Linked DNA regions of Drosophila melanogaster. The protein of the gene in region 1 interacts with the protein of each later gene in a pairwise test. Each region holds a gene or a part of one and is shown in the gene's direction. Other genes may lie near its edges. The genes, in order: ND-B14.5A and CG7483.

The links.
Region 2: the proteins of ND-B14.5A (region 1) and CG7483 interact in a two-hybrid assay, tested with the Drosophila melanogaster proteins (one large-scale study listed by BioGRID).

What each region holds. Positions count from the first base shown.
Region 1 is NC_004354.4:2,170,587-2,174,251, forward strand, and holds ND-B14.5A (NADH dehydrogenase (ubiquinone) B14.5 A subunit), read left to right. Parts: upstream 1-1,939; 5' UTR 1,940-2,056; coding exon 2,057-2,119; intron 2,120-2,219; coding exon 2,220-2,468; 3' UTR 2,469-2,846; downstream 2,847-3,665. Other genes in the region: CG3630 (uncharacterized protein), read left to right, coding at 203-499, 569-1,342; Cyp4d14 (cytochrome P450 4d14), read right to left, coding at 2,911-3,665.
Region 2 is NT_033777.3:8,311,173-8,315,364, forward strand, and holds CG7483 (uncharacterized protein), read left to right. Parts: upstream 1-2,035; 5' UTR 2,036-2,165; coding exon 2,166-2,298; intron 2,299-2,358; coding exon 2,359-2,725; intron 2,726-2,780; coding exon 2,781-2,972; intron 2,973-3,033; coding exon 3,034-3,541; 3' UTR 3,542-3,692; downstream 3,693-4,192. Other genes in the region: CG11694 (uncharacterized protein), read right to left, coding at 111-896; CG11698 (uncharacterized protein), read left to right, coding at 1,072-1,860; Coq2 (coenzyme Q biosynthesis protein 2), read right to left, coding at 3,982-4,191. UniProt on the Drosophila melanogaster protein: ATP-dependent RNA helicase. Core component of the splicing-dependent multiprotein exon junction complex (EJC) deposited at splice junctions on mRNAs. Involved in exon definition of genes containing long introns, including the rolled/MAPK gene.

The sequences.
Region 1 (3,665 bases):
GCAAGACCATGGTGGCTGAGCTTAGATTTTAAAATACCCGCTCTAATGAATCGTTGGCAACGCGATCAACTTACAGTAGTTGCAGTGAGGGCTCGCAGCCAGTCTGGCAACGCTACCATTTGAAAGAAGAAGTTTGGCTTCCTTCCCTGAAAAACCAGTTTAAGCGCCGATTTAAGCCATTTGTGTTCTTCGTTACTTGCAGGACTCACCACTGTCCTCCAAGGTGGCCATGTTCAACAACCAGGCCACGCAGCACAAGCAGTCGCAGCTGCTGAATCCATTTTCCCAGGACGGACGCGCCGCCTCGCCGAAACCCACTTTCTCGAAGGATCAGTATGGAAAACCACTGGCCGGCAGCCTTACAGAGATGCGTGGCCAGAAGGCCAACATCCACGTGATGAAGGAGATGCTGGAGCTCTGCCAGATCATCAATTCGGAGGGCTACGACGTCAAGGACGAGCCCACTATGCGTGTGATCCCCTTCGGCGAACTTTTTAATGTGAGTGTCCTGTTTACAGCTGGTATATTTTTCGAAAAGCCCTCTAAACTGGTCACTTCCACTCTACAGATCTATAACTACATATCCGACAAGGTGGTGGGCATCCTGCTGCGGGCCCGCAAACACAAGTTGGTAGACTTCGAGGGCGAGATGTTGTACCAGCGGAGGGACGATGACGTTCCCGTCTTTCTGCTGAAGCCCATCAAGGAAATACGCAGTGAGATGGAGGCCAAGATTGAAGACATCAAGAGGGCGGCTAGTCCAGCGCCTCCGCAGTCCACCTCGGTGCTGATGGATCGCAGTGCTCACGAACAAAAACTGAAGTCGAGGACTCCCTCGCCGGCTGTGGGCAAGTCCGCCAAGTCGAAGTCAGCGTCGCCGGCACCCAAGGCTCCTGTACCTGTTCCTGCGCCTGCTGCAGAAGTCACGCCTGTGGCTGGGCCCACAACTTCTGCAGAACCTGCTCCTGTGGCAGAGTCCACTATGGCAGCAGTTCCAGCTCCGTCTACAGAGCCCACACCGGCAACAGCTCCTGCTTCGAGTACCGTTGAGATCGAGCCAGCCAAGCCAGAGGTGACCGAACAGGCGCCCGTGGCTGTGATAGTCACAGAAGCACCATCCACAGAAGAAACCACACCAACCACCAGCGAACCGCAGGCGGAGGAAGCACCCGCTGCAGTTGCACCGGCAGGACCTGCTGATGACTTACCCACAATTGTGATTGAAGCCACCGCCGAGTTTGTACGCACCGTCAGCGTGGAGCAGCTGGCGCCCAGTCCCGGAACGGCCAGCGAGTCCTCGCCAGACCAGTCCCAATCCCAACCAGAGTCGACGCCCGCTTAAGGCGGAACAGGGAGCTTGTTAGCTGGGAAGGAAGGAAGGAACATCCCCTTAAATCGTTTAAAAGGAACTCTCGCAACTACTAAAGCGGCAGCTTTAAATTGCAGTAGTTTAGTTTACGGCGTACTTAGTTTAATTTACAATTAGAGCAACACAACACTGAAGACAGAATCGAGAGTAACTTTTTATTTATTATTATTACTTGTATATTATTAATGGACGACCAAAGGAGCCAGTTTCCTCAATTTGTTAACCATTACTCTATGGAAATGAACTACGGTTTCCCACTCACAAAAGTTGGGAACGTGCAAGGCAATAAAATACTAATAAAATAAATACACGTACATAGACACAATATAACCAAGTCCTGTTTTTCTAGTTTCAAAACGATTGGAAGTGCTGGTTTCATAACTAACTAAATGACTCATTGCCTAGGCAGTTTTATGTGCTCTTTCTCGTAGTTGTTCTCTGCTTTTAATCTTTAATTAAAAATTCGGCCGTTACTATATCAACTTTTCTTCGCGATAGTTATCGATAAGTATATCAATTGCAGGGCAGCAAAGCAAAGTTAAGAGGACGAGGCGTGGGTATCGATTAACGATACTTCGTAATTTCAAGCAGCTGATATCGATTGGACGACAGGGCTGGACCTCACAAATAAATATAAAACCAAAATATTCAGTGGTTTCTCAATTTGAAGAATAATACAAACGGAAAATGTCTGCCCTGCGCCGTGATGTGTCGCCTTTAATCCAGCGCATTCGGGCCTTCCTCCTGGGTGTGAGTATCCGACATTTGGACAGCGACCGCAGAGAACTCGGTTCTCAGTTATATAAGACGGAAAATGTGAATCTCTGATTAATCTGGACGCCAATTACAGCGGGAGCACAACCTGGCCCTGCGCTTCGAGGACGGACTGGCCGATCGCACCCAGCCACAGCCGGAAATCCCTGACGGTCCATCGCATCTACTCTCGGCCAACTACTACTGCCAGCGGGATGGACGTCGCGAGGTTCTGCCGCCCATCGACCTGGTGGAGCAGCAGAAGCAGCTGGCGGCAGAGGGGGAAGCGGCGAAGGCCCCGTCTTCCAAGCTGCCCACTCCCGGCAAGGTCTATGCCTGGGATTAATGGGCCGCATCACCGCGGGAATCGCCTTTTTTTGAGTTGTAGTACGAGCCGGTTAAAGCTAATATAGAATCAAATTGAAGCAGAAATGCGTGCATTGGTATGTTCAGTGATGAAGGGCCAAGTGAAAGGCCCCTTACCAGCCCACAATGTTTCGAAACCCCACTTCCGGGAAAAATCACCATCCATTTTTTTTTGAGTTGTAGTACGAGCCGGTTAAAGCTAATATAGAATCAAATTGAAGCAGGAATGCGGGCATTGGTATGTCCAGTTATGGGGGGCCAAGTGAGAACCCCTTACCAGTCCACATTATTTCCAAATCACACTCGCCGGAAAAAACACCATCCATCACTGGATATCATTATGTACAAGTATTTTATTCAAATATTTACAGAGCCCATCACTTACAACTAGTTAAAAAAAAAAAATCACAATCCAGGAACACCTAATAGACGCGCGGCTTGAGGCCACAATTGATTCCGGTGGTCGAGCGCAGGATAACGTTCAGTACGGGCTGGACTTCTTCGCCCAGAGGCAGCAACTCAAAGTGTCTCACCATTTTGCTGATGGTGCTCTTCATCTCGAGCATTGCGAACTTTTGGCCGATGCAGTTTCTCGGACCCGCTGAGAAGGGAGTATAGGCGAATGGACTGATCTCGCCCTTGCGCTCCATGCTGAAACGATCAGGGATGAACTTCTCCGGATCAGGGAAGTAGTCTGGATCGCGCTGAGCATGGTAAATAAGAATGATCACATTCGAGTCGGCGGGTATCAATTTGCCGTCGAGTACGGTGTCCTGGGAAATGTAGCGTCCAATGATCGGCACCGAGGGAAACAGGCGCAGAGACTCCTTTATCACGCACTCTAAGTACTTGAGCTCGCCGAGTAGCTTCATAGTAACTGGAGCCGACTTGTCATCACCGATAACATCTCTGACCTCCTGGAAGACGCGAGCCTGAACCTCAGGATGTCGAGCCAGCAAATAACAGGTAAAAGCAATGCTACTGGTCGTAGTGTCATGACCCTCGAACATGAAGGTGTCTACCTCCTCGCGGATGTCGTCGTTGCTCAACGGAGCCCCATCGATGGTGGACTTCAGCAGCACATCAAGAAGAGCCATACGACGCTTCTGGCCCACATCGTTCAAGAGGGCAGCGTCGGCATCTCCTCCATCGGCAATGGCTTTTTGTAGGAGCTCGC
Region 2 (4,192 bases), on another chromosome or scaffold:
TTATAATTGTGATCTCACCTACGAACTATTGAATTTAATAAAACTGAATTATATTCTCCCTTTTGAAAATGCAAAGTAAAATAAAATATAAGATATACAAGTTATTGGCTTCAGTTGGTGCGCCCCCTCTTCAGCCAGAGTAAGTGCCTCAGTTCCGCCCTCCTGCGCTCCCTGGTGGCCCTATGCCTGGCCTCCTGGGCAGCACAGGCTGCCTTCTCGGCGGCGTTTTTGGTATTCTTGAAATCCACACGGGCCACCTCCAGCTGGCGGAGCAATAGCTCCACCCGCTTCTTGGCCGCTTCCACAAGCTGTTGCTTCTCGCCCAGCTCCTGCTGAGCGCCACTGGCCACGTGCTCCGAGTTGACCACATTATCCTGCGCATTCTTCACCGCCAGCGTAATGGTGTTCAGCTGATCTGCCGCCTGTTTGGCCGCTTGCCCGGCCGCAGCATAAGTAGTTTGGGTGGTCTGTAACAAGGTGCTCTCCTCCTGGACCACTAGCTCCCCCTCGCGCACCTCGGACTCCAGTTGCTCGACAATCTGTTGCTTGCCGGCCAGAGCAGCTTCTGCCGCCTTGGCTGCGGCCAGCGCTTTGTCGGCCAGTTGCTGCTTCACCTGGCGGGCAGCTGCCTCGCCAGCCTCTATCTGGGCATCGGATGCCTCCATGGCTTCCTTGGCCGCCTTCTGCGCAATGCATGAGGCCTTTACCCTGGTCTTTCCATTCATCTTGAAGTCGCACGGGGCACCGCCGGAGGATGACGACACACTGTTGTCGCCATCACCATGATGATCCGACATTAGAGCAGCTATCTCATTGGAGGACTGCGGCAACTTGTGGCCCGCAGAATGATCTGAGAACAGGAAGAAAAGTAGAAATGCGATTCGTGCTATCTCCATGCTTAACTCGAAATAGTTGTATTAAACGGATTTCTAAAGATATTTAAGAAATATATACTCCAGGTAACTTGTGGTTACTGTACAAATATTTCAAATAATAGTGATTTGAAAGGTGGAGCTGCTATATTCCCATTATTATCTCCACATTTCGATTTCCTGATGAGCCTTGAGATTTATGTACGATGCAAGATTCCCAATGCGTTGCGACTCCCTGGTTACGATGTTGCTTCTTTCGAACATCCTGCTGTCGACCGCCGCGCATCCTGCCCAGCGGAATGATCCGCGTTTCAAGCCCGGCTCCCTTCCCTGCAAGACGAGCATGAAAGCCAGCCAGGTGGCCTCGAAGGCGGCCAAGGATGCGAAGGACGCCAAGGATGCGCAGCCATGTGCCGCGGAGATGGCGGGCTACAGGGCACGGGAAATGCTGGCGGACAGGGCGTTGCAGGCGGCCAAGGCTGCGGAGGCGGCTCTCAACGGGAAGAAGCAGCTCCTCGATGAATACACCAAAAGTCTGGCAGAAACGAACAGGGTTATCGAGGAAATCCAACGAGCCATTGCTGCCAGCTCGTGCTCGGCGACGTCGGCAAAGGGGATCCGTGACAAGCTCTGCACATCCGTGAACATTATGAAGAGTATGCTAAAGGAAATGGGCGGAAATCTCGATAACATCCGGAGGATGGCCGACAGTGCCCAGAAAGAGGCCCTGGAAAAGCGCAGCCTTCTGAAAGCGGCCAGGATGCGGGTGGAAGAGCTCCATAGCTGCATGTGCGAGGCTCAGAAGGATCTGGAGCGAAATAAGCAGAGCGCTAAGAAGGCCAACGACGCCGCCAAGGAAGCACAGCAACGGATCGAAGCTTTGCAAAAACTGGTGAGCAGGATTAAGATGCTGAAGCGAAAGGATCTTCAGTCGCTCGAGAACTTCCTGCGCAGGAGAAGAAGTAGCACTCCGGAAAAAACAAGTTGAGTTTCTTGTTTGTTATGGCAATAATCATATTTATATTTTATAAAATACAATAAATAAGAACATATATTCACTTTAAATTTTTTCCGCCCGATATCAGTGTTGCCACTTGTCGCAAAATAAGTGAAAACATATCGATATCAAATTAAATCGACGCCGATTCAATAATCGATTGTTGCTAAGCAATTGATAGGCCACCCCTAGTAAGCGGACCGCATTTTTTTCTGTGAAAGTCAGAAAAATTAGCCGAAAAAGACTGTAAATATTTATTAATATCAGCCGAAACCGCACGCGAACAAATCGTGAACATGGCGCGCAAGAATGCCCAGGCGGAGGACCTCTCCAACGTGGAGTTCGAGACGAGCGAGGATGTGGAGGTGATACCCACATTCAACGCCATGAATCTAAAGGAGGAGCTGCTACGCGGCATCTACGCGTACGGTGAGTGGTGTGTATACCTATGGCCGGTCTAGAACTAATCCAGTTTTCTGCACTCCCAAGGCTTCGAGAAACCCTCGGCCATTCAGCAAAGGAGCATTACGCCTATCGTCAAGGGACGGGATGTGATTGCCCAGGCACAATCAGGCACGGGCAAAACCGCCACCTTCTCCATCTCCATCCTGCAGAGCCTGGACACCACGCTGCGGGAGACGCAGGTTCTGTGCCTGTCGCCCACTCGCGAGTTGGCTGTGCAAATCCAGAAAGTCATTCTTGCCCTCGGCGACATGATGAATGTCCAGTGCCATGTGTGCATCGGTGGCACCAACCTGGGCGAGGATATCCGCAAATTGGACTACGGTCAACACATTGTGAGCGGCACTCCAGGACGAGTCTTCGACATGATCAAGCGACGAGTGCTGCGAACAAGGTATGTTTCATTGTGCCCGATCAAACAATATTATAATTATAAGTACATTTTATAGAGCCATCAAGATGCTAGTGCTGGACGAAGCTGACGAGATGCTTAATAAGGGTTTCAAGGAACAGATATACGATGTGTATCGCTACTTGCCACCAGCCACCCAGGTGGTGCTCATCTCAGCTACCTTGCCCCACGAGATACTCGAGATGACCTCCAAATTTATGACAGATCCGATTCGCATCTTGGTCAAGCGGTAAGCAATATGATGCTCCCCCATATACGCAGTATGATTCATAAATTCCATTCCCTCACAGTGACGAATTGACACTGGAAGGCATCAAGCAGTTCTTCGTCGCCGTGGAGCGCGAGGAATGGAAATTCGATACCCTGTGCGATCTGTACGATACTCTGACCATTACCCAGGCCGTCATCTTCTGCAACACGAAACGCAAGGTGGACTGGCTGACGGAGAAGATGCGCGAGGCTAACTTTACAGTCAGCTCGATGCACGGCGATATGCCGCAAAAGGAGCGTGACGAGATCATGAAGGAGTTCCGAGCCGGCCAGTCGCGAGTGCTCATCACCACCGATGTGTGGGCTCGGGGTATCGATGTACAGCAGGTGTCGCTGGTCATCAACTACGATTTGCCCAACAACCGTGAGCTGTACATCCATCGCATCGGTCGTTCTGGTCGTTTCGGACGCAAAGGTGTTGCAATTAACTTTGTCAAATCGGACGATATCCGCATCCTGCGCGACATTGAGCAGTACTACTCCACACAAATCGACGAGATGCCCATGAACGTGGCTGACTTGATCTAAACTAATATTCTATCATTACTTTTATGTAACGCACTTTTCCTAGCCGTAACAACAAACGAATGAAGTAAATACATTTGAAGAGTATTTGAATTTCAATAGACAACCAAAATCTGTATAATAATAATAAATAACACGTAAGAATTTAATACAGAAACCAGTTTGCTTTTCAAATGGGTTAGGAGGGCTCAGGGGATGGGTGATTTACGTAAGTTCTTACGTCAAGGCGGGCACTTACAATTAAGAATTAATTGATGTTTAAGTGAGGTGTGCACTTAGTAATATTCTTTAAGACTTAACCTATTGCAAATGAGCTAAAAATGGTCATAAGCCTATTTACAAGATTTTATCTAATCAGATACCTAGAGACTTTGGTTTTGGCGAATCAAAAAGCGCGCTATAAACATAATTTAACACTACAATCTACGCTCGTCTGGCTCATCTCAGCTTAAAACTTCTGGCTTTTGCGGCAGCGCTGGAACGTACGAGCTGGCCGTCGATGTTGTTAGTGAGGATTGTCGCTGTTTCTTGCTTTCGTCTGATTTCAGAAGGGTGCCCAGAACAATGCCGAGGAAGAGAATGAGTCCTACTTGGTGGTTCGATATGAACTTTTTGGCGCAGTCGCTGGGGTTGTCAATGTTGAGGGAATAGATC